Rattus norvegicus: one gene and its partners. The protein of the gene in region 1 interacts with the protein of each later gene in a pairwise test. Links are inferred from orthologs where the notes say so. Each region holds a gene or a part of one and is shown in the gene's direction. Other genes may lie near its edges.

The links.
Region 2: the proteins of Nup62 (region 1) and Crct1 interact in binary tests that used the Homo sapiens proteins (3 or more experiments, as listed by UniProt). The two-hybrid records come from large-scale screens. The link is inferred for Rattus norvegicus from reciprocal best matches to the Homo sapiens genes NUP62 and CRCT1.
Region 3: the proteins of Nup62 (region 1) and Agr3 interact in binary tests that used the Homo sapiens proteins (3 or more experiments, as listed by UniProt). The two-hybrid records come from large-scale screens. The link is inferred for Rattus norvegicus from reciprocal best matches to the Homo sapiens genes NUP62 and AGR3.
Region 4: the proteins of Nup62 (region 1) and Oip5 interact in binary tests that used the Homo sapiens proteins (3 or more experiments, as listed by UniProt). The two-hybrid records come from large-scale screens. The link is inferred for Rattus norvegicus from reciprocal best matches to the Homo sapiens genes NUP62 and OIP5.
Region 5: the proteins of Nup62 (region 1) and Bfsp1 interact in binary tests that used the Homo sapiens proteins (3 or more experiments, as listed by UniProt). The two-hybrid records come from large-scale screens. The link is inferred for Rattus norvegicus from reciprocal best matches to the Homo sapiens genes NUP62 and BFSP1.
Region 6: the proteins of Nup62 (region 1) and Ccdc121rt1 interact in binary tests that used the Homo sapiens proteins (3 or more experiments, as listed by UniProt). The two-hybrid records come from large-scale screens. The link is inferred for Rattus norvegicus from reciprocal best matches to the Homo sapiens genes NUP62 and CCDC121.
Region 7: the proteins of Nup62 (region 1) and Xpo6 interact in binary tests that used the Homo sapiens proteins (3 or more experiments, as listed by UniProt). The link is inferred for Rattus norvegicus from reciprocal best matches to the Homo sapiens genes NUP62 and XPO6.

What each region holds. Positions count from the first base shown.
Region 1 is NC_086019.1:104,434,762-104,439,206, forward strand, and holds the start of Nup62 (nuclear pore glycoprotein p62), read left to right. Parts: upstream 1-1,266; 5' UTR 1,267-1,325; exon of another isoform or gene 1,326-2,850; intron 2,851-2,987; exon of another isoform or gene 2,988-4,429; intron 4,430-4,445. Other genes in the region: Atf5 (cyclic AMP-dependent transcription factor ATF-5), read right to left, coding at 1-17. UniProt on the Homo sapiens protein: Essential component of the nuclear pore complex. The N-terminal is probably involved in nucleocytoplasmic transport.
Region 2 is NC_086020.1:181,328,607-181,332,287, reverse strand, and holds Crct1 (cysteine-rich C-terminal protein 1), read left to right. Parts: upstream 1-1,410; 5' UTR 1,411-1,481; intron 1,482-2,268; 5' UTR 2,269-2,290; coding exon 2,291-2,593; 3' UTR 2,594-2,896; downstream 2,897-3,681.
Region 3 is NC_086024.1:58,373,538-58,377,518, forward strand, and holds part of Agr3 (anterior gradient protein 3 precursor), read left to right. Parts: intron 1-1,192; 5' UTR 1,193-1,219; coding exon 1,220-1,325; intron 1,326-3,981. UniProt on the Homo sapiens protein: Required for calcium-mediated regulation of ciliary beat frequency and mucociliary clearance in the airway. Might be involved in the regulation of intracellular calcium in tracheal epithelial cells.
Region 4 is NC_086021.1:127,054,039-127,058,624, reverse strand, and holds the start of Oip5 (protein Mis18-beta), read left to right. Parts: upstream 1-1,581; 5' UTR 1,582-1,588; coding exon 1,589-1,886; intron 1,887-2,120; coding exon 2,121-2,187; intron 2,188-4,586. Other genes in the region: Nusap1 (nucleolar and spindle-associated protein 1), read right to left, coding at 1,164-1,256. UniProt on the Homo sapiens protein: Required for recruitment of CENPA to centromeres and normal chromosome segregation during mitosis.
Region 5 is NC_086021.1:151,703,123-151,707,677, reverse strand, and holds the start of Bfsp1 (filensin), read left to right. Parts: upstream 1-1,524; 5' UTR 1,525-1,694; intron 1,695-4,555. UniProt on the Homo sapiens protein: Required for the correct formation of lens intermediate filaments as part of a complex composed of BFSP1, BFSP2 and CRYAA. Involved in altering the calcium regulation of MIP water permeability.
Region 6 is NC_086031.1:95,784,555-95,788,613, reverse strand, and holds Ccdc121rt1 (coiled-coil domain containing 121, retrotransposed), read left to right. Parts: upstream 1-1,478; 5' UTR 1,479-1,539; coding exon 1,540-2,511; 3' UTR 2,512-3,146; downstream 3,147-4,059.
Region 7 is NC_086019.1:190,101,900-190,105,300, reverse strand, and holds the end of Xpo6 (exportin-6), read left to right. Parts: intron 1-1,941; coding exon 1,942-2,043; 3' UTR 2,044-2,582; downstream 2,583-3,401. UniProt on the Homo sapiens protein: Mediates the nuclear export of actin and profilin-actin complexes in somatic cells.

The sequences.
Region 1 (4,445 bases):
GTCGCCAGGAGTGACATGGCTGAGGCACAGGTGCAGGGCTGCGATGGCAATGGAGGCTGCACCAACAACTGGGAGGCAGCGTGGAAGATTGTTCAGCTGGGTGAAGACAGGCACCAAGGCGAAGGTGGAGGGCCTGTGAGGAAGACAAGGTGGCGTGGGTGGGGTTGAGTCAAAGCTGCTTGACCCACAAGCTACCCACACTTTTCTTCTTTCTGCAAATTCCAGAGCTCCATACATTCCCAAGGCAACTTTTGGAAACTCCCCAGCCCCATCTCCTCCCTCAACACAGAAACCTAGTGTTCTCCCAGGGGAATTACTTCCAGCCCCTCCTACCTACCTCATCTTATTGCTCTTCGTAAAAAAATTCAATCCCAAGGTAATTTTATTTTCTTCTAGCCGTGCCCCTTCCGCATCAATATTTTCTTTAGACTATACGCCCTTTAGAGTTCACAGGGGTTCCCAGAATAATTCTGCCATGCCTTGGGCCCTTCATCAGTGTTACACACACAAATCCCACTCTTCCCTTAAAAGTTTTAGGTGACTTCTACAGATTCTACGGGAAGCCCCGCCCACACTCCTGTCTGTCAAGTCAGTTCCCGCCCCCAACTAGCAAGTCCCTAGAGGCCCCGCCCCTTGGTTCTAGCTCCAAGTCTTTCTTAAAGGTGTTCTTTAGCCTTCCCTGTCAATCTAAGCCAGTCCCCGCCCCAGCAGGTGCCTGATTGGAGGGAAGTTGGACCAGTGTCAGAGCCTCGAGGAACTCCACCCTTCCTCGCTGATTGCTCGCTAAGCCGCAAGACGAAAGCTCAGACCCTGGACCGGATTCATTGTTACGCCACTACCCTCCTGGGGGGACCAGTGCGTGTGTTTAGCCAATTACCGGCCGCCCTCCGTAGTTCAGGCCGGGAATAAGGTAATGCGCATGCGCAATAGAGTGTGGGTTCGTATCCTCTGAGGGGAAAGGAGGAAGAGGGTCTGTGAATTAGTGCGCAGGCGCAATGGCGCGCGAACCGACCTTAAAAGCCCCCAGACTCTGCGGAAGCACACCCTCCCCCACGCCTGGAGCCTAGTGCGCTTGCTCAGCGGATGCGCCGGCCACCGACTTCCCTCTTCTGCGCCTGCGCGACCGTGGTTCCTCATATCGTCTTCCCCACCCCCTCCCCACGAGGCTGACCCGTGAAGCCCCGCGAGCTCTGTGAAAGGGCGGGAAAGGCGGTTGGAGAGGGAGGGGCGAGCGGTTACTCACTCCATGGCTGCGAAAAGGAGAGGAGGCAACGGCGGCGGCGGCCTCAGTTGAAGAGTCGGTGTGAGCAGAGAGTGAAGTCGCGGTGAGCGCGGAAACGGGGCGGGGGACACGACGAGATCGCGGCTACAGAGCCATTGCACGGGCGGAGGCGGCGTGGCAGGAGCGTTAAGGGAGACTGCTGAGAGGGTTGAAAATGAGGCGGCCCCGGGGCCTGGGAACAAATATACCGGGGGCGGCGCAGCGCGGGATGCCTGGATCCCTCCGCGCTCCGCCCTCGCGGGGCCCCGACGGGGCGGTGGCGACCCCGGGCCCGCCATGTCGCCCTGACCCTTCACTCACTGCTTCAGGCTGGGGGCCCGGACTCTGTTTCCTGTATCGGTTGGATCCTATTCGATCTCTCTTACACCCGTAACCAGCTCATCCCGTTATCTATCCCTGCTTCACAAATTTGCCACCAGTCCCTAAAACCGATGTCGCTCCGAGAGACCTCGTGGGTTAAGCTCATCGCGGAATGGCGAGTTCAAGCTAGCTTAGGCTTCATAGACGAGTTCAAGGGAGCAACAGCGAGATGTCGCTGTTTATAGATATACGCACAAATATACCAGCTATGGAAAGTAGGCCACGGAGTCCTAATCAGGACTCTTAAACCTTCTTGTTTGTTTTAACGTTTATTGTGTATGTATGTGGTGGTCAAAGAAGAGCTAGCAGGAGTTGGTTCTCCTACTATATAGTAGGGTCCCAGGGATGGAACTCAGGTCAGATTGTTTGGCAGCCTTTCTCCACTGAGTCATTTCATCTACTACTAAAATCGTTTTATTTTCTTTTAGATTAAGCCCCCACCCCTGGGAGGGGGCCTGATTTCACCCCTTTTTATCTCCCTACCCCCGATTCTTAGCCAGCCAACATATCCATATGATCATTCTGTGTGTCCCACCTCCAAGGTTTCTGTTTCCAGCCATCCCTACTTGCTACATGCTGTGCTCATCATGCCACCCTCTTAGGTTTTGCCCCTTGCTCTGACTTCCTTGCAGTCCTTGCTCTCTTGCTGACCCCACTAGATAAATTGTTTCTTGATCCTGTCTGTCCCCCAGGATGATGGGGCGGTTTTCCGCCCCGTGTTCGAGTATAGCCGTCATTCCATGTGGAAGCCAGTCAGCCTATCATATTTGTAGCAGCTGAGAGACTGAATGGGTGGAGATGGAACTCAAGAGTGCTTGCCTGTTGCACACAAGAACCTTAGCACCCAGCACCACATGGACGGTGCTTGGTAGTTGTCTATATTCCCAGCATTTGGAAGATGGAAGCAGAAGGAATCATGAATTCAAGGTCATACTGGCTGGCCTCAGTGTGTTTTTAAAAAGAAAAAGCTCAAAGGCCAGGCCTGGTATCTTACCTACTTAAGAGGCCAAGGCGGGAGTATTGGAAGTCAAGGTCAGGGCCTGAGCTGCTTTGAGATAGTTCAGGTGGTAATCTCTAAACCCAACCCTCTTGAGTTCCATCCCCAGAACCCAAAAGCAACTCTATAGACAGACGGTTGTCCTCTGGCCTTCACCATCACCACGTGTGGTGACAGGTCTGAATGCTGACTAGGAGTGTGATTTAAAAAAAAAAAGTTCATGGCTTGCCTGGACTAGAAAGTGAGTTCTTAGCCTTCTAGGGAACTTACAAAGACCCTGATTTAAAAAAACAATTATACTGGGCTGGGGGTGGGGGATTGGTGGCAGAGTATTGGCTAGAGTGCTGCTTTCCAGGACCTGGTTTCTATTCCTGGTACTGTAAAAGAAAAAAGATTGGAGCAGGTGAGGAAAACTGATTTTGAAAGTTACAAGCAGGAAGTCCTTGGCAATTTTACTCTTGGAGTGGGCTCTCTTAAAAGATTTATGTATGAGTACACTGTAGCTGTCTTCAGACACACCAGAAGAGGGTATCAGATCCCATTACAGATGGTTGTGAGCCACCATGTGGTTGCTGGGAATTGAACTCAGGACCTTTGGATGGGTCAGTGTTTTTTTTTTTTTTTTTTTTTTTTCCCAGAGCTGGGGACCGAACCCAGGGCCTTACGCTTGCTAGGCAAGCACTCTACCACTGGGCTAAATCCCCAACCACCACCACCACCCCTTTTTTCTTTTTTTCGGAGCTGGGGACCAAACCCAGGGCCTTGCGCTTGCTAGGCAAGTGCTTTACCACTGAGCCAAATCCCCAACCCGGGTCAGTGTTCTTAAGCGCTGAGACATCTCTCCAGCCTGGAGTGGGCACTCGTATCTGCTGCCAGTACAGGTAACCATGAGATGTGATGTGTTCAGACTCCAGCCCTAGCTTACCAGCTATGGGCTGCATTAATTCTGTGTGGAGTCTGTTTAGACTAGATACTGATGCATAAAGGCTGCCACTAATACAGAAGTGGAATGGACCCATGGCTTCATGCATTGCATGCTAGACAGGCATTCTACCACCTGAGCTGCATCCCTGGGCCCCACAGGTGCCCTTTTTTATTTTTGAAACAGTATGCCATGTTGCAATGCCTATGGTCCTCCTTTCCTTGAATTTAGTATTTTAAAGTAAACTTTTGGAATGAGATAGGTTTCAAAGACAGTGCAGAGTGGGTACCAGCTCATAGTCTCTTCCCTGTGGTGCTTCCGTCACAGCCAAGGCTGCACAACCTTTTTCTGTCCTGGGGTCCCACCCAGATGCTTCCCCCACCCCTAAACCCATCTTAATTTCAGTTGTGCTTGGTGGTCATCCTTGGAGGCCTGCCACCCTGAGCTTTGGCCAGTACCCAGCCCATGCTATGTGTCCAACATGTGTGTTATTCTTTGTCTATAACCCTTACCCAGTCTCAAATGGCAGCCTAGTTTCTTTACTCTCAAAAAACAAACAAATTCTTTGGGGAGCCAGAAGCAAGGGTGGAGCTGCTTGGAACTCTTTTCCAGTGCGGAGGGACCTGAGCTAGGGAGTGAGGCGGCTGGTTGCAGGCAGTTGCATCAGCCGTGGCTCTGATGGGTAGGAAGGGGTAAGGGAATTCTCTGGGGACCACAGAGCACCTGGCAACAGCTCCTAGGTAGCAAAGACCTGGATAGGAGCCCCCTGGGCAGAACACAGCGAATCTGGGGCTTTGTCCTTAGAAGGGGCCTACCATTCCAAAGGCCCATAGCTTGCTTGTGAAGACAAGACTGAGGCCTAGAAAGGGTAAGAAGAATTATGC
Region 2 (3,681 bases), on another chromosome or scaffold:
TGATTCCTATCTCTGATTTTCTTTACCTTTTTTTTTTTTCTCGGAGCTGGGGACCGAACCCAGGGCTTTGCAGTTGCTAGGCAAGTGCTCTACCACTGAGCCAAATCCCCAACCCCTTTCTTTACCTTTTGCATAATGTTCTAGAGGAGAGCCCGCATCGACCTTATTACTTCATCACTTCCTTCTCTTTTCTGACTTTGATCTTTCTTCTTGGAAAATCTGACCTCTTCTTGCCAGGTGCTCTGCTACAGTAGGCAACCTGTAAATCAGGATCTAAAGCCATGGCAAATGAAACGGGTATCTTCTATGACTTGTACTTCCTTGTCTGTTTCCTCATGCCACACCCAGCAATGCACCCCAAAACCTATCTCACTCTTAATCCCTGAATTCTTAGTCTTAGATTCTCTTATGTCTCATACTCATGGTTGGTATGACCAGGTAGTTCTGATGATTGAAAGGCAGTTCAGAGGCAGTTGACCTCCAAAGTTTCCTCCAGTTTTATAAATCAGCTAGTTAAAACGCAACAGTTACTGTGGGAACTTTCGAGGCATTTTCCCTTTTATTTTCCCCTCTTCTTTGCTCTTTTATTTTATCCTTTTCATTTTGTGCTGTTTTGTCTTTTTCCTATTTGTCAGTAGTCCTAGGGTCAATCTATCCTTAAGGAAGGTGGTATCAGAAACAGGAGCTCCGAGGCTAGCCAGCTTCCTATTTTCCAATAGGCACGGACATCTCACCCATTTTTGTCTGAGATCCATTAGGATTACATTATGGAAATATGATAAAGTGACTTCTTTTGGTGTTTTTGGTGTTATTGGTCTCTTAACCTTGTCTGCATTATTCCTCCTGTCAATGGTGATAGGAAGAAACCACTGTTGGGATTCCCATCCCAACCATTGTCTTCAGTCTCTACAAGCATCTGGACCAAACCCAGAGGGTTCATCACATAGCCTGCAGCCTGCTATGCAAAGACAAGAATCAAGGGCTATAGAGATGCAAATAAGACAATAAATGATAAGGAGATAGCTGTACTTGAATAAGTGTGTGAGAAAGTGGAACAGTACAGGTGTTCTCCCTTTGCCCCAGCTGTTTGTGCCTGTGTATTTGTGTGTACAGTGTTTAAGAGAGAACCTCAGACCTCTCCTCATTTGACCTTCCAGGCCTTTTCTGAGCTCACATACAGCCCTCCCAGCTATGAACAGTGTCCGGTTTGAAAAGTAAACACACCACAGCAATCCTGGCACCTCTGTGAAGTGACTTGGTTGTCCACGTGCACCACCTACAGTGCTATCTGAGTGATGAATGCCTCTGGGATGCAAGTGTCAGCTGAGCATGTCTGTTGAGAAATGGGCTCCTCCCAAGTACCTGGACTTGCTGGAATCTTATAAAAGCTTCTCTGGCCATACATTGTTCAGTCTTCTGCCTAGCAGGTGTCAAGTTCCAGTTGGAGAACTGAGTGGATCTTCCTGTGGAGCCAAAGTCTAGTAAGTATCTAAGCAGGGTCTCGGAGAGGAGGCTGGGAAGAATGGAAGACAGAAAGGAGGAGGGAGGAAGCCACCAGAATGTAGCTGTTGGGAAGATGGGCTTGGAACCCGGTTTCTAGTGAGCCAGCCTTTTGTGTTGCATATGAAGATGCAAAGGCCTGGCATGGCCCTGACCTTTGAAAGGTTTTCCAGTCTGAGAAGAGCTTGAGTAACCAGGTCTTAGGTACCTTGGTTAAGTTATTCCCGTTCTCTGCTATGACAGATGCCTTTCCCTTATAATGTGGAGGACAGGCAAGAAAGGGTGTGCAGAATATGCTTTTGTGTTTTTGGATTCTCTGTACCCAAGACAGAGGGACAAAAATAGTCTTTGTGTTTTCTGACCGAGGTGATGCTTATACAATACAACTGAAATTACCACTTGTAAGGCTGTGTGGTCAAAATACAGTTGGGAAAGGGCTGAAGCCAAGAGATTTTTAATTGAGTCATGCAGATAAATCGTAGTCGTATGCTCTTTACTTTCCACCATAGAGACCTTGGATGGTCCTTATGTCAGTCAGGGAAACTGCATCGATCCTTTTTATATTGTTTCCTGCTTTGTGCCTCTGCCACTGGAAGCACCTGTTTGAGTTTGTTTCTTTTCCCCTCTCCCTCCCTGTTTTTTCTTTCTTTCTCATAGCCCTCTTGCCCCAAGTCAGACAGACTTTTCTGTAAGCCAAACGCCCAAAGCTCTGTGTTCCACGACAGGAAGAAAAGGCGGGATTTTTAAAAAAGGTTGTCTTTCTTTCAGATTCGTCTTGACAAACGCCGAGATGTCTCAGCAGGGCGCCAAAGGCTTTTCCAAAGGGTCTTCCCAGAGCTCCGCCCCTTGCTCCGCCCCGACTCCGGCCCCTACGTCCTCCTCATCTTGTTGTGATGGCGGATGCTGCAGAGGCTGCGGGGGCGGTTGTGGTGGTGACTCTGGCTGCTGTGGCTCCAGTTCCACCGGCTGCTGCTGCTTTCCCAGGAGACGCCGCCGTCAGCGCACTGGCGGCTGCTGCTGCTGCGGAGGAAGCCAAAGGTCTCAACGCTCCTGCAACAATCAGAGCTCAGGCTGCTGTTCTGGTGGCTGCTGAGAGCCCACCGAGCTGCTCGCGAACAGCTCTGCTGCTCTCACCCTGTCCTCCATAGTAGAAACAGGCAGGACCGGACTAGGAGTTTGGTTCTCCCTTAAGCTAACTGCACTTTGATGTTCAGAAACCTCACTCTGTTCTTAGACCTGTCCTCTAAAGTTGATTTTCCTCCCAGGGAATACAAAAGTCAGGGGTGGGACCTTAGACCATGCTATGGGCAGGAGGTGTGCACAGTAGTGTTCAAAACAGGCTACTGATTTGATTGTTGCCTGGAGACATCATAATAAAGCTTCTACCTCCTATGAACGCTTCTTTCCCTATTTATTCCTTCATCCGTGCCTTCATTTTTCTTATTTTATTGCCCTTTATACTACCCCTCAAAGACTCACGCCTGAAGGAGAACACTTCAACTCTGTGAGTTCTAAGGATTTGGGGTTGGCAGTCCCATCTACTTTGTGTTTTGATTCTCTGAGGTGGCTGCTGCCGCATCCATTTTACAGAGGGAAACTGATGTTAAGCTTAGATAGAGTCACTTCGATATGCCTGCAAGATCCAGGAGATCATCTTGCTAATTGCGTTGCTTAGCTTGGTCTGCTCTAGGTGGTCAGGAAACTGGAGTTCCTCCCTGAGGAAGCTCCGCCCCCGCCCTAGGCCACGAGGGAGTCTGGTTTGAAATGGCAAGTTCAGGAATTTGAATTCAGTTTGCTGAACATTCTTTTTCTTTGTTCATCTTTTCCCTTCCTCCCTTCTTCTCTACTCCTTCCGCCTTTTCCTATCCTTTCCTCATTTTTTTTTTAAGATTTATTTATTTATTATATATAAGTACACTGTAGCTGTCTTCAGATACACCAGAAGAGGGCATCGGATCTCTTTACAGATGGTTGTGAGCCACCATGTGGTTGCTGGGAATTGAACTCATGACCTCTGGAAGAGCAGTCAGGTGCTCTTAACCGCTGAGCCATCTCTCCAGCCCTTCCTCATTTTTTTTTTCCTGCTGGAAGACCATTGACTTTTGCTTGCTGGATGAGAACATTTTCTGTGCTTACCAGGAGACTGAAACTCACCCTCTTTTAGGTTTGATCTATTCATGC
Region 3 (3,981 bases), on another chromosome or scaffold:
GTTCCTTGTCCATTGCTTTCTTTTCATTGTCCAGGTCCGAGAATGACATTCTGAAATGTTTTATGACTTAATGAGCTATAAGAACTGAAACTGATAGTGTTATCAGACATGGTTACTGTTTAACATGTTTTTAGACCCTGCATACAAAGAAGACAATAAGTGGTTCTGCTGGCAATTATCGATGGAAGTAATCAATAAGACTAACCAGGAATGGCAAATATCATTGATTCAGAAATGAGACAGGAGAGACATCACTGAGAACATAGTGGAACAAGACAAATAAAGAAGTATCTAGAGAAACCAGGGCCTATAAACCTCCACTGAGCTGTTGCCCTACGAGATCTCAGATGCTATTTTGCATCAACACTCACAGTCACCTGTTGTTTTCTTAGGACCAAATTATTGTGTCTTGTGAATCTTTCCATTTTCCACAATTCTTAATGGAGTTAAATATAGCCACAGTCCAGCAGAATCAGTAAGCAATTGTTGATTGCATTTGGGCTAGGAAATTTCATTACGATGGTGGAATTCACTGTCAAATGATACAAATCTGCAGTCAAAAATGTTTTAAGAATTTTTGAACAAGCACGGAGGATATATGTGCACTGCTTTCTACTCTGCTGTCCCTATGTGTCATCTCGGTAGCCTATAATGCTTGGCCTTTTTAAAGAGAAGAGTTTTAAGTGGAAGGCTATGCGACTGTTGGAGCCATGTGCCTACAGAGCACTGAAAAACAAGGCTTGCCCGTAGTCTATTTTGCTTCTTATTTGTAGCTGAAGAATTGTTTTCATGTCTAATCTCATGCTACTCTACAGTTAAAGATGTTGTCCCAGCTGTTAGGCCCTGAGAGACGAAAAGTCAAAGAATCTTGATGCTAAGAGTCAATCTTGCTTTGCATCATAAAGTTTGAAAATGATAACCAACAGGACAGGGTTTGAGTTTCACGGTAGAGCTATGCACAGCACAGTGACCTCAGGAACAGCTGGGTACCCTCCACCTGCTCTCATTGTCACTCTGCGTCAGGATTTCCAGAACCTTCACAACCTTAATATTTACTAAAATGGTTTTTAAATGATCACCCTGAGATTATCTAATATAAAACTGAAAAATGAAACTGTCAGGTTCTGGTTTGTCCAAATACCTTTGGATAACGGCTGTGAAAAATGACCAGCTTCCGAAAATTATCTTTTAGCTGCCTCTGAGTGACTCTCTAGAAGACATGCTACACTCGGCTCTGGCCCTCTGCCTTTTGCTGATCACAGTTTCTTCCAACCTTGCCATTGCTATCAAGAAGGAAAAGAGACCTCCTCAGACACTCTCAAGAGGTACTGTAATCTCTGTCGTTTCTACACTCAGTCCTTCAACTGTCCTCAATACATTTGCTGTATACATCTATAGTTTGATTATAAGCAGAAATGCCTAGATATTTGTTATGTATGACTTTACAACAAACTATTCTAAAGGGGATGATTGATTTTTAGATAGTAAATAATCGAATTTCAAAGGAATAATGACATTTTGGGGTTTGGGTTTTTTGTTTTGTTTTTGAAACAGGGTCTCTCCATGTAGCCTTGGCTGGCTTGGAACTCGTTATATACACCAGGCTAGCCTCAATCTCATAGATATGGGGCTGCCTCTGTCTCTTAACCACTCTGCCTGGCTTAATAAAAATGGCTTAATAAAAATTCTTTAATGTGTCTTTTGTAGATGTTGTAAAGAACTGGCTTGACGAGTATAGCTTTGATCATAAGAATCTTAGAAAAGAAATGGTTCTTCTATGCCATAATGTTGTCCTAAGAGCAATTTAAGATTCTGCAAAGATTGCTTAAATTCCCAGGCCCCTATTTAAGGCAAGAAAATAATTATTATAATTTTATAGAGGGCTATACCCAGAAAATCATGCTTTCTCTCACCCCCTGATAACTTTGGATAGCTAAGTCTTTCTTAGGACTCCGATAAACAGTTGCACTGACTTTAGACATTTGACATTGGCTTTGGCTTTAGGTAAACACACACACACACAAACACACACACACACACACACACACACACACACACACACACACTTATAGTTTTACTCTGACCTAAGGGGAAAAAAATACTTTGTGTCCAAAAAGATGATGAGGAAACAGTTCTCAGAATTCTTTTTATGTTTTCAGGGAAACAGTAAATGCTGAGAATTATTTGCCCCAACATGATAAATTGAAATAAGCGGGATAACCACATAGTGTTTGGCCATGCTTTGATGTGGTACTCTGAGCAGAGTGAACAATGCAACACACTGCAGGGATCTAAAATGCTAACGCAGACTGGCTTCCAAACCGTTCATGTCCTCATGTACATAGTCCACCAGCTGTGCCCATAATGTTTGCCTAAGTGAATTAATTAAACTTTAGCTTAGCAATCACAACCTATACACCTAGAAAGGCAATGCATACTGAAAAATAGATAAAGGGCAAAACTACTTCCCTGGATATACTTTTTCACATCGCTCTCCAAACAAGTACAATAGTTATAAAATAAATAGCTTAGTAACTTTAAACCACCCAGGGCCAAACTACTAATTGCTGATGTAAAGACATCAGTACCCTGTGAGTCCATTCAGATGTTGATCTAAAACTCTGAAGCCAAGTTTTACTACATGTATTTATTTATGTGCTGAGGTCAGAGACAATTTGCTGAACTTGCCAAACTCTGTTCTCTCCTCCAATTTGGGTTCCAGGGATCAAACTCAAGTCATCGGTTTTGGTAGTAGGAGCCTTTACCTGCCATCTTTCTGGGCCCTTTTCTGGCAAACTTTATGAAAACAAATTAGAATATGCATGGCTTACCTTTAATAACTTGGTTCTACTACGACAGTTATTAAGATACTGCTTTAATGGAGAAAAAGATCACTAACGCTGAGTCAAGTCACTGTGCTGAGGGCTGGCTTGTATTTGCTGACCCTGTTACTGTCTATTTCTGTGTTTGGAATGGCGGTGAAAGTGAGGATGAAAGGCAGGAGTGGGTGGAAAGAGTCAGGGTACAGTGTGCCCAGTGCGGACCTTTAAAGCAAAGAACAGTACCAGCTAAGGACAGGGACCACTTGGAAGAAAACAGATTAGTGAGGAAAGGAAATAGGTAGTTATAAAAAATACACATGCACAAATGTTTTGTAACCAAAACACTTCCTAGCATCCTTTTCGTGTAAGAACTGTATCTGGGTGTGATGGTGCTTGCCTAAAGTGCCTCCCTGTACTCAACTTTGTGAGTTCAAGTTCAACATGGTCTACAAAACTAAACAACTGCCCAGAAGCCAGTGCAAGTGCCTAACGTACAGCAGATATTTAAAAAATGTATATCTGGTGAATGAATAAAGTCATCCATAGAAAACCAAAAAGCATAACCAAATCTAGAGACAAAACAACAGCCACGGATCTAGACAAGGAAGAGAATTTAAATTCTGTCACATTCACCCCATTGTGATTATGACCTAGACTTCATGCAAACAGTTATGATATACAGTATGCTCCCTGCAGAGCTCTATCTAGTTCAGAAGTTATATAATTGTTTTCTCTGTATTCTCAGAGACTAGTGGATAAGATCAGAACAGATGATGATCCTTTAATGTCGGTGGAACTAGGTTGAGCAGGAAAAAGAGATCTGGAATGTTCCCATTAATAAATCTCTAGTATTTGAGTGACGTTTACAACAGATAAGGGGAGCTGGAGAGATGGCCAGCACTTAAGAGCACTGGCTGCTCTTCTAGGCAAACCTGGGTTCCCATCTCAGCACCCACATGGCAGTTTACAACTCTCTGGAACTCCAGTTCCATGGAATCTAATGCTGACTTCCATGAGCACAAGGCATACATGTGATACACATACATACATGCAAGCAAAACACCCATATGCAAAAACAATAAAAACATAAATCTAAAGTATAAGATAAATATAAAAATAAAATCTAAAATAAATACAAGCAAAGAAAGAAAAGTAATCA
Region 4 (4,586 bases), on another chromosome or scaffold:
AAGCAAAACCCAAACTACGAAATTGAGGTAGGATAGGCTGCTCAGGTATGATGGTGGTGATCACCTCAGATGCAAATGAGCTTAGAGGCAACAGGTGTAGTTGATAAACAATTAGTCAGGCCAGAGGAGGAAGGGGAGTTTCAGGCTACTCTAAACTATACACTATTTTCCAGGATAGCCTGGGCAGTACAATGAGACTTTGTTTCATAAAAAGGAGGAGGAGGGGGTTGGGGATTTAGCTCAGTGGTAGAGCGCTTGCCTAGCTTGCAAACGCAAGGCCCTGGGTTCGGTCCCCAGCTCCGAAAAAAAAGAAAAGAAAAAAAAAAAAAGGAGGAGGAGGAGAAGGAAGAAGGGAAGGGAGGAGGAGGAGGAGAATCTATCCAGATAGTAAAAACCTGAAAGACTAAGCTTTATTCACTAAGTTGGGGAGCCATTAAGTACTAAACTCAGAAACACTTCCAAGTGCTCTTCACTGCCATTCAGCCAGATAAAACGTATTATCTATGGCCTCATTATTCTGTTTAAAGTATTTAAAAACACTTGTGACAACTGATTAGACATTTAGTGAAAATATCAGTTTGCTGTACAAATCTCTGGCATATACATGTGGGAAATCTCAGCTCCAATATAGCAAGCCTAATTTCACAATGAATCACCACATTTTCTCTGAGTACCTTGCAAACTCGGGATTCAAAGACCTTTTCGGTTTTGAAAAAGACCACCATCACAATAGTGATTACTGTATCGATGATCATAGTAGATCTTGGTGGACAAGCATATTATAAGCTCATGAGAGTGAAGGTACTGGCACGGTTTACTGAACAGTAAGTAGTAGTTTGAAGTAGTTTTTCTTTAACTGCCTAATAACTGGAATAGAAATTAAAATTACATTGATCACATCCTATGAGCCTTCGTTTCCCATCTGGTACCAGGATTTCCATTAAGAGGCCTTTATGAGTTCTTGAGAAAAGCCTCCAAATAAAGTAACAGACATGGCTTTTCTTTCATTTAACAAATTCCAGTCACTGTGAACAAAACCTGCCTACTCGCCCAAAACAGCGTTCCTCGGGGACTCCCTCTCAGTCACTTCGTGCCCTGTTCCCCAAACCCCGAGCCTCTTCTAAGCCGCCCGCAACCGCCCGCCCCGCCAGTCAGCACCGTACCCTCAGGTTAGCCCGGAGGCCCAGTCTTTTGGCTAAATTTTGCAGGTCGCTGTACTTGAAGGAGTCCAGCTCCTCTGCAGAGGGGACGGTCATCACGTTCTGCAATCACGGTGATACCCAGAAAAACAGCCACACGACTCAAAACAGCACCGTTCAAAACTGGCGCCACCCAAGACGTTGACAAGCAGACTTTTATACTCAGTTTAAATGACGAATGCTGTACGCCCATTGGTTGAACTGCCTCGAGGGTGGGGTTTCCTATGAGGGCCAGTAGCGTGACTGGCTGAAGACAGCTACTCCGCAAACCTAATAGGCAGACACTGGGTATTGTGGGCGTGTCTTACAGGAATATTGTCCAATGAAGGCACAGCAAAACAGTTGGGCGGGACCTGGGACGTGCGTGAAACAGGCGCGGGTTTCGAAAAATGGCGACTCTTTCGCCGCGCGGTCTCCCTGTCGTCGAGACCCAGTCCTGTAGTGGCTCTTGTGATACACCTTTTTCTTCCTCCATGGAGTGGGACACTCAGGTGGTGGAAGGGTTCTCCCCTCTCGGGTCTTCCGGGTCTGAGGTGAAGGCGTCACCTGTCGACCTGCGGCTGCCTGCGTGGTTGAAGCCGGAGAGATGTGCGGTGTTTCATTGCGCGAGTTGCTACGCGGTGCTCGGCGACACTGTGCACCTCGCCTGGGACCTATCGAAGTTCCTCGGCGCCCTGGCCTTTTCCAGTGAGTGAGGCGAGGGTTGCATCTGAGGAAGGCAGACCAGAGCCAGATGGGGGATGTGGCTTAGTACCCGAGCGGGGAGTGAGGCCTGGTTTTGTTTTCCAGAGTTGGGCTTCAAACACAGAACCTAGCCTGAGCTAAGCCAGCGCCTTTGGCACAGCCCCCACTTGGTTAACTTTTATGGCCCGATGAATCTGGTGGGAGGTATTTCTTTTTCAAAACCGGTTTGTCTTCCAGGAGTCACAAACAACGTCGTTTTGTTAGAGCCCCTTTTGGTTGGCATAGAAGGTTCTCTCAAATCCAGGTACGTGTGGAGAATTCCTGAGGTGGATCTGTATTGTTCCGGATTTAATGATGGTCAAGAGTACGTAACTGTTGTAAACAAGAAAGAAACTTTGTGTTGTGGCATGTTTACTCTCTCCATACAGTATGTTTGAAAGATAAACTCTTTACCCGTTTCAGTCATATTAACCTGGCTTTAATGAAAGTTAAAGTTGGGGGTAGGTCTTAAGGTCTGTGAGATAACTAGGACTATTTAACTTGGAGCTTATAATGTAAATATATAAACATAATATAAATCACGACAAGACTAATTCTGTAGTAATCTATAGAAAACTCTGCATCTTTGTTTGTTAATGTTTTTCCTATAGCAATAAAGTACTCAGTGAACTCGGGCTTAGAGTGAGGCCAAGCTAAGTTGTAGCCATACCTCCATTCAACTTTGCCAAACTAAAGACACATTCCTATCCTTATAGGAATTCCTTCTCTCAAAGGGGACCAGGAAGGAGTGGCCTGTTTCTATTGAAGTTGTTTGGAGCAAGAGGCAGAAGTACTCAGAATTGATGTAGATGGTCACATGTGTCCAGTACTGTAACCACTACCAGCTGTAATGGACCATTAGGATGTGGACATTGTTGAATTGAGAATACTTTGAATTCATACAGTATTTCAGAAGCATTTAGGGGTAGGGGTTGAGATAGGCTCTCTCACTCAATAACCTCACTAGCCAGGAACTCACTATGTCACCTAAGCTGGCCTAAAGCTTGTGATCCTCCTACATTGAAAACTTTTTTTGTGTGAATATGTTTGCGTATGCGATGGGAGCATGCATATGTAGGCCCGGAGGTAACCGGAAGCAGTCTTGCCTTCACCATGCTGGATGGAAGGATTAAGCTCCGTGTCTCAGGGTTGGTAGCAAGTGCCTTTCCCCACTGAGTCATTTCACTGGCCCTGAAGTGACACTTTTGATCTAGTTACATCACAAATTCTTTTACTTTTGATATTGGTAGTAATGGTCTTACCTTGACCTTACAGTTCTGCTTCTGCCAACAAGTGTTGGATCACAAGCATCAGAACCTACACCCAAAATCTTTTTAAAAAGCCTGATTAAAAACTGTAATTATAAGCCTGGTGGTGGTAGGACACGACTTTTAACACAGCCCTAGGGAGGCAGAGGGTCTCTGTGAGTTCAAGGGCAGCCTGGTCTACAGAGCTAGTTCCAGGACAGCCAAGGGTTCACAAAGGAACCCTGTCTGAGAAAAACAAACAAAAACTTAATCATACATTTGGAGATGTGCTATAGCTTAGAAGTACTATGTTTGCTTATCTTGTATTAGGTGCTAGAGTTGATCTATAATAAATACTTCAAAAATGCATACAAGTTAAAAGAAGAGAATGAGATTTCTGTTCCACATTATAATCTAAAAATAGTTTTATTACCTTTATTTATTTAGTGTGTGTATTGTGTAGTCACATGCCAAGGTACACTAATGAGGGTGAGAGGACACCTTTGAGGAGTCCAGACCCAGGATCACACTGTCAAGCTTGGTTGTAGGTACCTTTCCCTGCTGTTAGTGCAGCCCTGACTTCCCCACTGTGTGGTTCTGCTTGTGTGTATCCTAACTGAGGTAAATGGTCGTTTTCACTAGTAAACTTGAGGTCTTGAGATACATTCTTTACTATCTTTGAACTCAGTAGTTGATTGTTAGATTGTATTGTATGTGACACAACACTTATTATAAATTATTTCAAAAAGTTTTTTTGGATTACAGTCTATTGGTACTTAAAGTTTTGGCCAGGCATGGTGGTGCCTTTAATCCCAGCACTTAAGGAATGAGTGACAGTGAAGAAAAATCTTTATTCCACTCCACTGCCTGATATTATGTCCTGTTGTCTTCCAGACTGACAGACTTTTATAATGAATACAAATTAAAACCTAATCGACCTTATTCTATATAAGGAAATGGAGAAACAATTGTATTTTCAATATATATTGGAAGTAACTGCCTTAAGTCCTTTGGTGTTCATGATCCAGTGGCCTAGCAAGCTATATGATGCTAACTGACTATAAGGGAGTAAAAAACCCAAAACATCTTAAGGACAGTAGTAAATTTCTTTATTAGGTAGGGAGCCATGAATTACACAAGTGGTCAGAGACAGTACCAAAATTAGTTTTGAGGATTGTATTGTTTTGTTTTAAAAGTTTTTAGTTTGTTTTTGGTCAAAAATTATGTTCTTTGTTTTTGTTTCTTTCAAACAAGAGTCTTATATGGCCCAGGCTGTCCTTGGGAGCCAGTGAACTTGATGAAGTCCATCAGGTCGATGAACTTGAGTTCCTCCTGCCTATGCTTCTGGGTGTTAGAGTAACAGATACCAACACTATACCTGATGAGGGTAGTTATTTTTATTTCTCTTTTAGCTTTT
Region 5 (4,555 bases), on another chromosome or scaffold:
AGTGGGGTATGTGCATGTTAGTGCAGATGCCTGAAGATGCAGGAGGCCTCTGACCTCTGAAGCTGGAATTGCGTGTAGTTGTGAGCTGCCCACCACGAGCGCTGGGACAGTCCTCTGAAGATTGGTCCACACTCCTAACCACTGACCCATCCCTCCAGCGCCCCCCATACCCTATTTTTAACTAATCGGTTTTTAAAGAGGTGTGTCCAGCCTCTAGCTGAGCATTGTATGTTTTTGATCTGTTCAGGTCTTCCTTTTAGTCTCACAGTAAGGCTTAATTTGCTTCTCTTTGTAGTGCCTATGAATAACTGAAATATTAGAAAGGTATTTTATGATTTGCTGGTTACGTTGTACGATTAGTTATTGTTTGAATAAAGGCAAGCAAAAGTCAACCTTGATACTTTTAGGACCTTTCCCTGGGATTTCATTAAATGCTTGAGAATGAGGTTGTACAAGCCACAAACAATGGCAATTCTGTTTCCAATTCTTATAACTAAATCCCGTATCTTGTAACCGATTGGTTAACTTGTAGCTGGCAATAGTAGCCAGCATCTTTGCCTTGTCCTTCCTTTTGGGTGGAAAAGCTTCTAACACTCCACCAGCCCTTTCTGTGCCAGGTTTCTGGCAGACATCTGCTAACAAGTCAAGCAAATTTCTAATCCCATTTTGTTAGATTTTCGTAACTTTTAATTTTTTTTTCAAACCTTATTTTTAACCAAGTTCTTAAACACTTTAACCTCCCTTGTAGCCCGCCACCCACCGGAGGTAAGTGGAAAAGAAAGGATTGGGGTGGGGCGGGGGCAGTGGACCTGTTTACTAAGTTTCTTTGGAGCAATTCCCGTCTGTATTGTCTGGAAATCATCAGTTAAGTTCACAGATACACCAGCAGTCCAGTGCGACAGAGTTGGGTCAGCAACAGTGGTGACTTGACCGAGGAGAGACAGCGAGGCCTCGACCTCAGAGTCAGCAGAAGAGACCCACAGGAACACCAGAAGTTCTCAGCTGTGCCTCTCTCAGAGAAGCGAAGATCAGCGAAGATGCGAGGCCCATAAACGTTTCGCAGCTAGCTGTACCAGCAAGCCGAGCGAGCTCTGTCTCCATCACTCTGTGGAGTCCTATTTATACCCTCTTGGAAGATCATGCGTCTTCCAAGTGCATTGCCTCAGCACGTGCATCCAGGCGAGTCTGATGAGTCCTGAGAGTGCAGCTCAACGTTCCTTCATGTGTTTGCCCCAGCAAAACACCATCCAACCGACTTTCCAAAGAACCCTTAAGTTTTCCACTTCAGGTTCTGCTTTTAATCAATACTGCATGCCTATCTAGTCTTACTAAATATTTTAAAGAGACCACGGAAGGTTTACCCTCTAATGGAACAGAGTAAATTATATTGATGAGTTTTCTAATGTGGAACAATGTTTGCCCTCTATGACGCATCTCTACATGACTCTGACTTTTGTTTTCTTGCGTGAGGCGGAAGGAGCTGACGCATGTGCGTGTGTGCATGTGCGTGCGTGCGTGCGTGCTTGCTTACCAGTGTACATGCAGAGGCCAGAGGGAAATGTCAGGTGTCTTCCCCTCTCACTCTTCATCTTATTCCCTTGAGACAGGGTCCCTTGCTGAATCTGGAGCTATGATGGCAGCAGAAAGCCCCAGGGATTTGTCCTATCTCCGTCCCTCACAGTGCTGGGTTACAGGTATGTAAGCCTCGGACAGTGCTTGCCACGGATGCTGAGGGTTTAAATTCAGGTCCTCAGTGCTCGGGCAGCAAATTCGATTCCTTTCTGAGCCCCCTCTCCAGCCCGCAGGCTCGCACTGGATTCATTGTCGGTTTGCTTTGTTCGTCATTTACTTAGACTCTGTTTTCATAAATGAGATAAGCTCACACCAGGCCATTTCGGCCTTATGATTGCAGAATCCTGGGGGCAGTTTAGGTCCCCAGACAGACAGAGTTAGGTCCCCAGACGTCAGGAGGATTCCTGCCCTGCCTTCACCCTGAACAGAGTCTCTTAGGTGGGATAAACTAAGCCATAAGCTGTGACGGTATCAGCCTGAGAAACTGATGGGGCCTTAGATCTGGTCTTAAATATAGATTTAGCTTAAATAATTTTAAACCAACTTTCTCTAGTGATTTTACTTTTTGGGCCACTTTGGTAGTTTTTACTTTTTGGTCTCAAAAAAAAAAAAAAAGTCTCATGTGAGTTCTAAACTTAAAGGATATAATATTGTACATAGTATACTTTGTCCCATTATGTTAAAAATCTGTCACCGGTAACTGTAGCTTTTGTTATTTTTTTGTATCAAAAATAAATTATACTTTCTTGTTTTGCTGAGTCTTGCCACCTTAACTATTTATTTACTTGAACTGGATTTTTTTAAAAATCTTTAAACCAGTCTTTTCTTTTCTTTTTTTATTAACTTGAGTATTTCTTATATACATTTCGAGTGTTATTCCCTTTCCCGGTTTCCAGGCAAACATCTCCCTCCCTCCTCCCCCTTCTTTATGGGTGTTCCCCTCCCCATCCTCCCCCCTTGCCGTCCTCCCCCCAACAATCTAGTTCACTGGGGGTTCAGTCTTAGCAGGACCAAGGGCTTCCCCTTCCACTCGTGCTCTTACTAGGATATTCATCGCTACCTATGAGGTCAGAGTCCAGGGTCAGTCCATGTATAGTCTTTAGGTAGTGGCTTAGTCCCTGGAAGCTCTGGTTGCTTGGTTGTACATATGGGGTCTCGAGCCCCTTCAAGCTCTTCCAGTTCTTTCTCTGATTCCTTCAACGGGGGTCCTATTCTCAATTCAGTGTAAACCAGTCTTTTCAATGACCCCTGTCCTGACCGGGGCATCTCTTCCGTCAGAGAAACACTACTGGTTGTGTCTCTCAAAGGCTCAAATGCAAAACTGACAGTCAGCAGCCGATAATGCTATTAGGAGACGGTCCCGCCTTTGGAGGTGGAGCCTAGTGGGCGGAGTTAGGAGTTAGGTTGTTGCGCTTTCAGGCCCTTGCCTTAGAGTTCTTTTCTGCACCGACTCAACTTCATCCCCTTGGCACTTAGCTCCGGTTTCAGGACTTTACTTATCGTCTTCTCTGTTGTTGGTTTCCCAATCTATGTCTCTCTGTTTGACTTATTTGCAGACAAGTATTTATTTGCTATTTCTCTGTCGATATTTCGTGATTAGAACAGGACTCCGGAGATCTTGCCGCAAATTTGTGTTGTGTTCAGCTACCCACGACCTGTGAATGGCGGTTTTGTTCTTCAGCTTTCTCCTTGCCTTCCCTCTCTCGCATCCCACCCCAGCAAATTCTACTGATTCCACTGTCAAAACTCATCACTTCTCACTACCGTCTTAACCTCACTCTGGGCTGACTGATCATCACCTCTGCATCCTCAACACAGCTCTCAGGGTTGGTCCTGTTAGGTGAAATGTCAGTTTATAGCACTCTTTGCTAAGACTCTCAGTGGTCTCCTCCTCCTCTTATGGCCAAACAAAACCATTACAAAGGATTTTGTAGAGAGGTTCCGGCCCCTAGCTCTCTGACCGACTCATCTGACCTGTGATCTTCTTCGTCTTCTCTACCTTCTGCACACTGGTTATACTGACCGCATCAACTATTCTTGAGCAAACCTGGTCTATCCTGTCAAACTAGATCTCCCCTGAGGCTAGAGTACACCTTCTCGAGACATCCGTAGGGCTTGCCCACTGCATACTTCAGTTTTCTGCCCAGATATTACTTCCTTAGGAAAGGCCTTGTTGACTATACTGTCTGAAATTTCCACCCACCTCCATCTCTTCAGTTCCCTCCAATGTTTACTTTTCCTCTCTATCGCTTGTTACCATTAACCTAATCTAGCTTTTGCTTGTGTGCTTTAATTACTTTTTGAGATAAAGGCTTGCTATGTCAGAAGGCCTGGTCTTGAACTCCAGGGCTCAAACGGACCTCCCATCTTAGCCTCCTGGCTGATAAGCCCATAAGCTTGTTCCACCAAGCTGGGCATGAACTTTTTACTGATATGTTAATTGTGTCCATCGATGGATTACAGTGTGGCAATTCAGTATGTGTGTATACAATGCATAATGATCAAACCAGAGTAATTGTCACTTGTGTACCTGTAAATATGTCATTTCTCTATACTGAACACCTCCTTTCTGGCTCTTTATAAAATGTATAGGAAATTGTTGTGTAGTCTCCCTTCTATGGTACAACATTTGAATTTATCCCCCTTTATAAAACTATATTTTGGTGACTCTTGTCCAGTCTTCTCTGTCCTAGCTTTCTCTCCCGTCCTTAACCTCCAATGACCACTGCTCTTTCTTCTAAACTTAGCTCATTCCTGTTCTCCTCTTTTATTTATTTATTTTTTAAATGTTTATTTATTTATTGTATATGAGTATACTATAGCTGTCAGACACCAGAAGAGGGCATCGGACCCCATTACAGATGTTTGTGAGCCACCATGTGGTTGCTGGGAATTGAACTCAGGACCTCTGGAAGAGCAGCCAGTGCTCTTAACGACTGAGCCATCTCTCCAGACCATCCTCTTTTAAATATAAGCTCCACAA
Region 6 (4,059 bases), on another chromosome or scaffold:
TACACTATACACATACATATTGCACATACATACACTGCATACATACTGTATACACACTGAACACACATACTGCACACACATTGCACACATACTGCATACATACATACTACACATACAGCACACATACTGCACACTTATACTGCACACACACTCATACTGCACACACACACTACACACCACACACACACACACACACACACACACACACAGCCACAACACAATGAAGAGTTAGGCATGAGATAAGGAAGGGTGAAAACAATCTCAGAAGTTCTAGGTGTACTCAGCAGTATACCCCAGCTGACCCACAAAATGGGTGTCTGCCCATTTGTTGCATGAGAAGACAGGTAAACTTTCTAGTAAGTCTGTAGGACCTTGGACAAGTTGCTTTACATATCATGACAATAATGTCTAACTTAAAGTCTTGTAAAAAAAATTAAAAGCCTTTCAAGTAATAAAAATGGGGCAGGACTTCCTCAGTAACTATTTTGAGAGAAATAGAGTAGATTGAAACTTACCTACCCTAACCCAAGAAGCTTTGATTCTTATTCTTTCTTTACCCTAGGATGTGGTCTTTGGGGATTAGTATCTGTGTTTTGTGGGGTTTCTTTCATAGCTAAAGTGGGGGAAATAATGCATGTACTCTCCACCTAACATTTTTGGAAAGATCAGATGAAGTAATGTATGGTAGCATTGTGAAGCTGACAGGTCAAAATCCCAAGTGTCAAGGGAGATACGCACCTCAGTTAAACAAGTTGCCCAAAGTCACACAACTCTTTATCCTAGACATAAGATGCAGGCATTTCCAGTTACTTATAGGCTCCAGATTTCAAGAACCCAGCAATTTTGCCTTCAACTCACTATCAGGGGTGCCACTCCACGGTCAGTAGTACCCAAAGTGCCCCAAGGATGCACTTGGGGGAGCCTACTAGACCAAGGTGCCGTGAAGGAATTAGAGTTAAGGGCACTCCAGTCTTCAGAAACCTCCTCCCTTTCTTCCTGGCCTTCTGCCTGTCACAGTCTCTTCTGTGCTCCCTACGGCTCATGTACAAAGTCCCACAATGCTGCCTTTCTCAACAACACACAGGGAACTCAAGGATCTGCAAACAACCCTCCCCAGCCCTAGGTCTCGCCATTTATCCTGCAGACCCATACCCCCAGCACTGCAGAGATGAGTCTGGCTATACGTCTGCTAGTGTGCAGAGAACAGAAGGGCACGCTGACCTGTGGACAGGGTATGAGGAGGCAAAGCACAGGTCCCAGGAGAGCAAGACCAGAGGGCTCCCCAGGACAGGGCTCGCCAGCTTGGAACAGGAGCTCTGGGCTCCTAGTGAAAACTCGGAGATCAAGGCCAGCCCTGGACAGCCTCTGAGGCTACTCTAAGTGAGCTCTGCGACTTCCTGGCAGGCTGGGTGTAGCTTGGTCGCCTTGACCACCAGAGGGAGAAACCTTGGGAACATTGGCTCAGGACGCTGTACCCTGAAGTAACAAACCGCCTTGCTCCCTGGCAGTCACTTTCCTTGACCTGGGGATTCTGGGAACATGCTTGCCCAGAGCCCTAAAGGTGCACCCCCACCAACACCATACCTTACTATTCTAAATACGTATCTCAAGCCAAAATTGCTAACGAGGTTGGAGAAACGGGTAAAGAGGAAGACAGTGGTGGAGCTGAAGGAGCTGAGCCAGCAAATCCAAGAAACTAAATGCCGGCGGGAAAGGCTGCTGACGGACAGCAGGCAGCTACTAGAAGAAAAATACCGCGTGCAGGCCGAAAACCAGCTTTTCACGGAATACTTGCGTAAAAATAAGGAACAGTGTGAAAAGAAACAGGAGGAGCTGTGGAAGCAGTACATCCAAGAATGTGGCGAGATAGAACGAGAGAGGCAAGAATTGGCGTCCAGATACAACCAGAGAAATGCAGCTCTTCAAGCCCAGCTCCTGCAGGGCAGAAAGACCCAGAAGGATTTGAAGCAGCAGTTGCAGGCCCTGAAGCCAATTTACAAAGTAAAGGAGGGCCAGGACATGAAAATACAGAGCTTGGAGCAGGAGCAAGAGAAAGTCCGAGGTGAGACTGCGGCCAAGGACCAGAAGGCACACTTCCGGTTCCTGCAGGAAAAGGCATTGATGGAGAAGGAGCTGGAAGACCTGCACCTGATGGAGCTGGGGCAGATCAACACCACGGGGCTTACGAGGAAGTACAAGGCCTTGGCTCTAGCAGCCAAGCAGGCTCATTCTGAGTTCTGTGGCAGCCTCCACAGGGAGAACCAGCAGCTACGCAAGGAGCTTCAGCAACTGAGCCAGGAGTACCGCAGGGTGGAAGCTGTGAGGAATCAGCTGGAAAAGCACCGGAGGCTGATGAAAGAGCAGCGGTGGTACCTAGAAGCCTTGACCAGAGGGCGGCAGCGGCTGCAGGCAGAACGCGAACGCCATCACCGTCGTCACAACCCGTGCCTCAAGGAACAGAGAACTTCAAAGACCATGCTGAGCACCAAATCAAAAACAAGTTTAAAGTAAGAGCTACTACAACTGAACTGGAGCACAGGGAATAACTACAATCCAGAAAGTATCCTTCGTGGAGACTAGAAACGCTTGCACGAAGGGCGGTTGACGCAGCATGGGCTGTGCTCCTAGCCTGGGACCCAGGTCGTGGCTGTCCGTGTCCCTGGGGCTGCGTACACTCAGAGATTTAGAACAGTTGGAAATTTTGTAATGGGTTACACCACCCACTTTTATAGTAGCATTTGAAATCCTCAGATTACCCACTTAGGGCATATATTTTTACCACGCTTATTTTTTTCTTAGTGTGTACTCTGCAGTCCACAAAGTACGGTGTATAACCTGTACATTCTATGTATTTTGGGCCATATGAAGCAAATAGGAATCTTAAATTGTAGGGTTTTTGTTTGTTTAGAAGGGTCGCACGTTTGCATTTATGGTGGACTGTTTTGTTGAACTGTGGGTTCTGGTCTGGAAGAATGGTCTTGTATTTGGGTGATGCCCCTGCATAGGGAAAAGACATAGCCAGCTTCACGTTTCTCAGAAATTATTGGTAATGAAAACTTCGAGGGCACTCTTCAGAATTTTCTGCTTTTTTTATATGTAAAATAGGTTCTTTTTAAATAGGATTAAAAGGTGACTTAGCTTTTCAATGTGCCTTATCACCATCATCATCTTTTAGCATTGCTGGTGAATACATATACTTTACAGTTAAACAGTGTTGTTAAAACAAAATTTACCTGTAATTAGTTCTTAATACCCCTCCAGATTTATAAGTACAACAAAAATACTATATCCCTCAATGTTTTATTATACTACTGCCACCCTTTTGAAGTGATAGAACAAGCATGTGATGAGGTACAGCAGGCCAATAACATAAGCACCATGACTCGGGGTGAGGCCACTACGTCAGTGGCTAACGGGTGGGTAGTGTATAAAACATGGACGCTCTGGGCAAGGATGATTTGTGACCCTTATGTGATGGTACAAGGTCTCACCACACTACTCAGACACATGAAATATGCGAATCGTTTCTTTCCAGAATTTTCCATTTGATTTTGGACTGAAACTGAACACAGATAACTGAAAGGTAGGGAGGGAAGCCTGGGTAAGGGGAGTTGCCACGGTGCCAATCCAGGCCCCCTACTTTGCCTACTGTTTATAAAGGAGAAGCCCGCAGCCCAAAGGCTGTTTTAAAGCCTTCCTTGCGTCATTTCTTATCTCGTGGAGTATTAAAAGCTCACCTTGATCGAGGCTAACTACAGATCTTTTCCCTGTATGCCAGGAGCCATTATGTTGTCTAACCAATGGGCAGACTTGATGGACTGCTACAGGTTGCTTCTTGCCTCTAGAGCTGAGAGAGGCAATCTTTTCCCTAAAGGCCTGGAGAATACAAATATAAGGCCTTGTGTTCCCTGTGGATTCCACGGGGCATCAGTTCAGCCCCACCAGGGAAAACAGCCCCAAGAAACACAAAGGACAGATTAGTCAGGTTATGGAAAGATTTTATTTACAGGAGCAGTGCCGATCCCTGCCCTAGAAGAACACAGGTTTTCCCAGTGCCTT
Region 7 (3,401 bases), about 86 Mb from region 1:
GCCACTGATCCCCCAGGGTGAAGTCACTCAAGGCACCACTGCCCCATGCTGTCAAGCTGTGTGTCTGCCCTCTTTCTGTGTTGTGTGGCCATAGCTCTTCCTTCCTGCTCTGTGTGCGTTAGGCCTTCTTTTGAACAAGTTCTTTTGGAAGCTTTTTGGATAAGCACTGCCCCTCTTGTCCCCTTGGGAGTTGAGACTGCTTGCTCCTGGTTTCTATTGGTGCTCTTCACTTCCATGCTGGAGTACTGTTCTGAGCACCTCTGGTCTCTCTCCCCCTCATTTGGCATGTGTTCTTGTGTCTTAGAATTGTCTTTTCTTTGGGGGTCTGTCTTGTTCTCTCTTTTCAGCCACTTGAATTGTTTTTCCTTGGTTTCCTCGAGACCAACTCCTAATATCTAATAGTTGTTTTGCAGTGGCATCAGTATTGGTCAACTTCTTGGTTAATACATTGGGTTCTAAATCTGGTCACTCCTAGGATGCATATTGAAAATGGAGAGGCGTGCTTGGCTCCACCGAGGGAGTTCTGGTTTGGTGTTTGGGAGCTGCTGACTGAAAACGTGCTGCTTGGTCAGTTTTTGGCTTGGTTTGGTTTGATTATTCTGAGATGAGGTCGCTTTGTAGCTTTTGCTGAACTTGGTTTGTGATCTTTCTCCCTCTGCCTCTCATATTTGAGCACTATCCACCTATTTTCTGCCCTCCTCCTCGATACACAGGGTCTTACTTTGGCCTGAAACTTATCGTATAGACCAGGTTGGTCTCAAATTCATAGAGATCCTTCTGCCTCTGCCTCCCAAGTGCTGGGGTTAAAGGTGAACACTACCAGGCCCTGTGCTATTCTTCAGGCTGAACTGAATCACTTTCCATGAGGTTGTGTATTGGTTCACCTTGCTGCCATTCAACTGCTTCCATGCATGCTTTTGTGGGAGACAGGCTGTGTGGTGTATTTTTGGGCCATGCTGTTCCTGGTACTTCGTGCTCTTCCAACCTCCTTCTAAAGAGCAGCTCTTTACTCCTTTTTGCAGATGGTCTTGGCTCAGAAGGGCACCTGGTAGTGGGACAGGCTCCCAGCTGATGTCGCAGGAGAGCATGCAACATGATTGATCTGAGGGCACTTTGAAAGTTCAACACAGGTGCTGACCAGACCAGCTAAGGCAAGGCAGGCAGTATCTGGTGATGGGGACAGGTTTGAGCTGAGTTCCAAAGGAGGAAGAAGGTGGGAGAGGCAGGAGCAGTATCAACTGTTTGATGTGGCTGAGTTTTGCACAGGGATCACCTTGGTAGCAAGGGCAGGCTGTCAGTTATGTTTGTGACAGTGTGTGTGTACTGTTCACATCCGCCGGCGCTCTGTTGTCTCACACTAAGCAGTATGGGAAACAGTGGAGCAATTTCCTGATTGCCACTCCCAGCAGGGCAGCTCTGTGGCTAGGCTCAGATGTCATGTAATTTGTAGGGACTTGTGGAACTCATGAGGAAGGACTCAGGTGTGCGCCATCAAAGGCTGGCCTCTGGGAAGGGGAAGGACAGCCAGGTGGTGCTGGAGCTCTTCCCTCCCTTCCTGTCTAACTTGCAAGATCCTGAGTTGCAAGCTGTGGGGCAGTTCTGAATTGCTTGCAGCAGGGGCTGGCCCGTGGAGCCCTGAAAAAGAATTTGCATGTGCATCTGACCCAACCAGTGCCTTGCTTAGGAATTGGAATTGTGTTTGCATAGAGCCAAACGCACAAGCGTGGGGGCAGCTCATGAGTTTGGCGGATGGTTAGCCTTGGCTGTTAGGGTATGGGGGACCTTTAAGAGCCAGGCTTCAGGGGCTGGGGATTTAGCTCAGTGGTAGAGCGCTTACCTAAGAAGCGCAAGGCCCTGGGTTCGGTCCCCAGCTCCGAAAAAAAAAAGAACCAAAAAAAAAAAAAAAAAGAGCCAGGCTTCAGTTTTTGCCCTGCCTTTCAGGACCTACCCTCGTTTACCCAGAATGTGCACAGACTGGTAAATGATCTACGTTACTACCGACTCTGCAATGACAGCCTGCCCCCTGGCACCGTGAAGCTCTAGGAGTGCCTGCTGCCACCGCCACCTACACCACCTGCACCTGTGCCACGGAAGTCTGTGACAAGCCTTGGCCACTCTCTGGATGGGCATGCCTTGAGCAAGTTGCCTGCCTCTGCCCTCTCCTGCTGCCACCAGCACAGCAGGTGTTGGAGTCCATTTGGCACTGGTAGAGTTTCCATGCATTTGGAGCAGGCAGAGGGCCCTGTGGCTGGATGCCAGGGAAGTACCAGAGACCCCACAGAGTGGTTCATGCAGATCATGTGTGTCAGTCCTGAGTCAGAATCGCCAAGGACCACTTACGACAGTGCCACCTTCTCACCATTCCACCTCTCCACCTCTCCTGGCCCAGCCAGCCCAGGAGAAATTCCACATTGGAACTGTTTCTGTCGAGCCTCCTGCCCCTCCAATTGCCTTGAAGTCTCTGCTCTTTGTCAGAGATTCTCGAAGACTCTCGGGTTTTTGTTCCTTGTTTTCTCATCATTCCATTGTGATACTAAGAAGCTTAATGAATAAATAAAATGCTTAAGTTGTTGTTATATAAACACTAGCTATGGGGCATCTTTGTACCTGGGCCATCACAGGCCAGCAGTGGAGCTCTGTGCTGCTGAGACCCGTGTTGTCTTGGGAGAGTAGTGAGAGGAGGCCCAACTGCCATGGACATGCCAACATCTCCCTCCTACTACCTCAAGAAACGTGCTCCAGGCTTGGGGAGCTGCTGTCTAGGACACTGACCTTGTGGTAGAGGCAGGCATATATCCCAAGGCTATCTTGCTGCTGGATCCATAACTTCCTCCCAGCTGAGATGTGTGGGACCCTGGGACTTGGGTCACCAGTGACTGGCCTTAGGGAAGGAGAGGTCACGGGCAGCCAGGCAGCAGGTGGGTATCAAGGATCAGGGCCAGACTCATCACAGGAAATGTCTGAATGGAGCAGACCTCAGAAGGTTAGAGAGGCAGAGGGGTGACAGTATCTCTAGGCTGAAAGCAGGGTGAAGTTGAGTGAAGATAATCTTGGGGACCAGACAGCTTTGGTTGGGTCCTGAGTGAGTCTTGTCATCCCTACCCCTTATGACACTAGGGAGTAGTAAGTAGACATTCTCAGTAGTAATTCTAGGACAGCATTGTATGTTGGGGCATGTCACTTTTGTCACGAGGCAACCCCTAGCTGGCTCTGTGTTATCCAGAATAAGTAGTGATTCCTGCCACCAACATCCCTTCCCTCTGGAGGAGTGTGGAGTAGACTGACAGGCAGTGCAGTGGGCCGTGTATTCAGAATGTTGGTTAATGTGCTTTGGCCACTGAGCGCTGTCTGCCTGCGTCAACTGTTCTCTGAGCCCTCCACTGTCTCCTCTCTCCACTGTC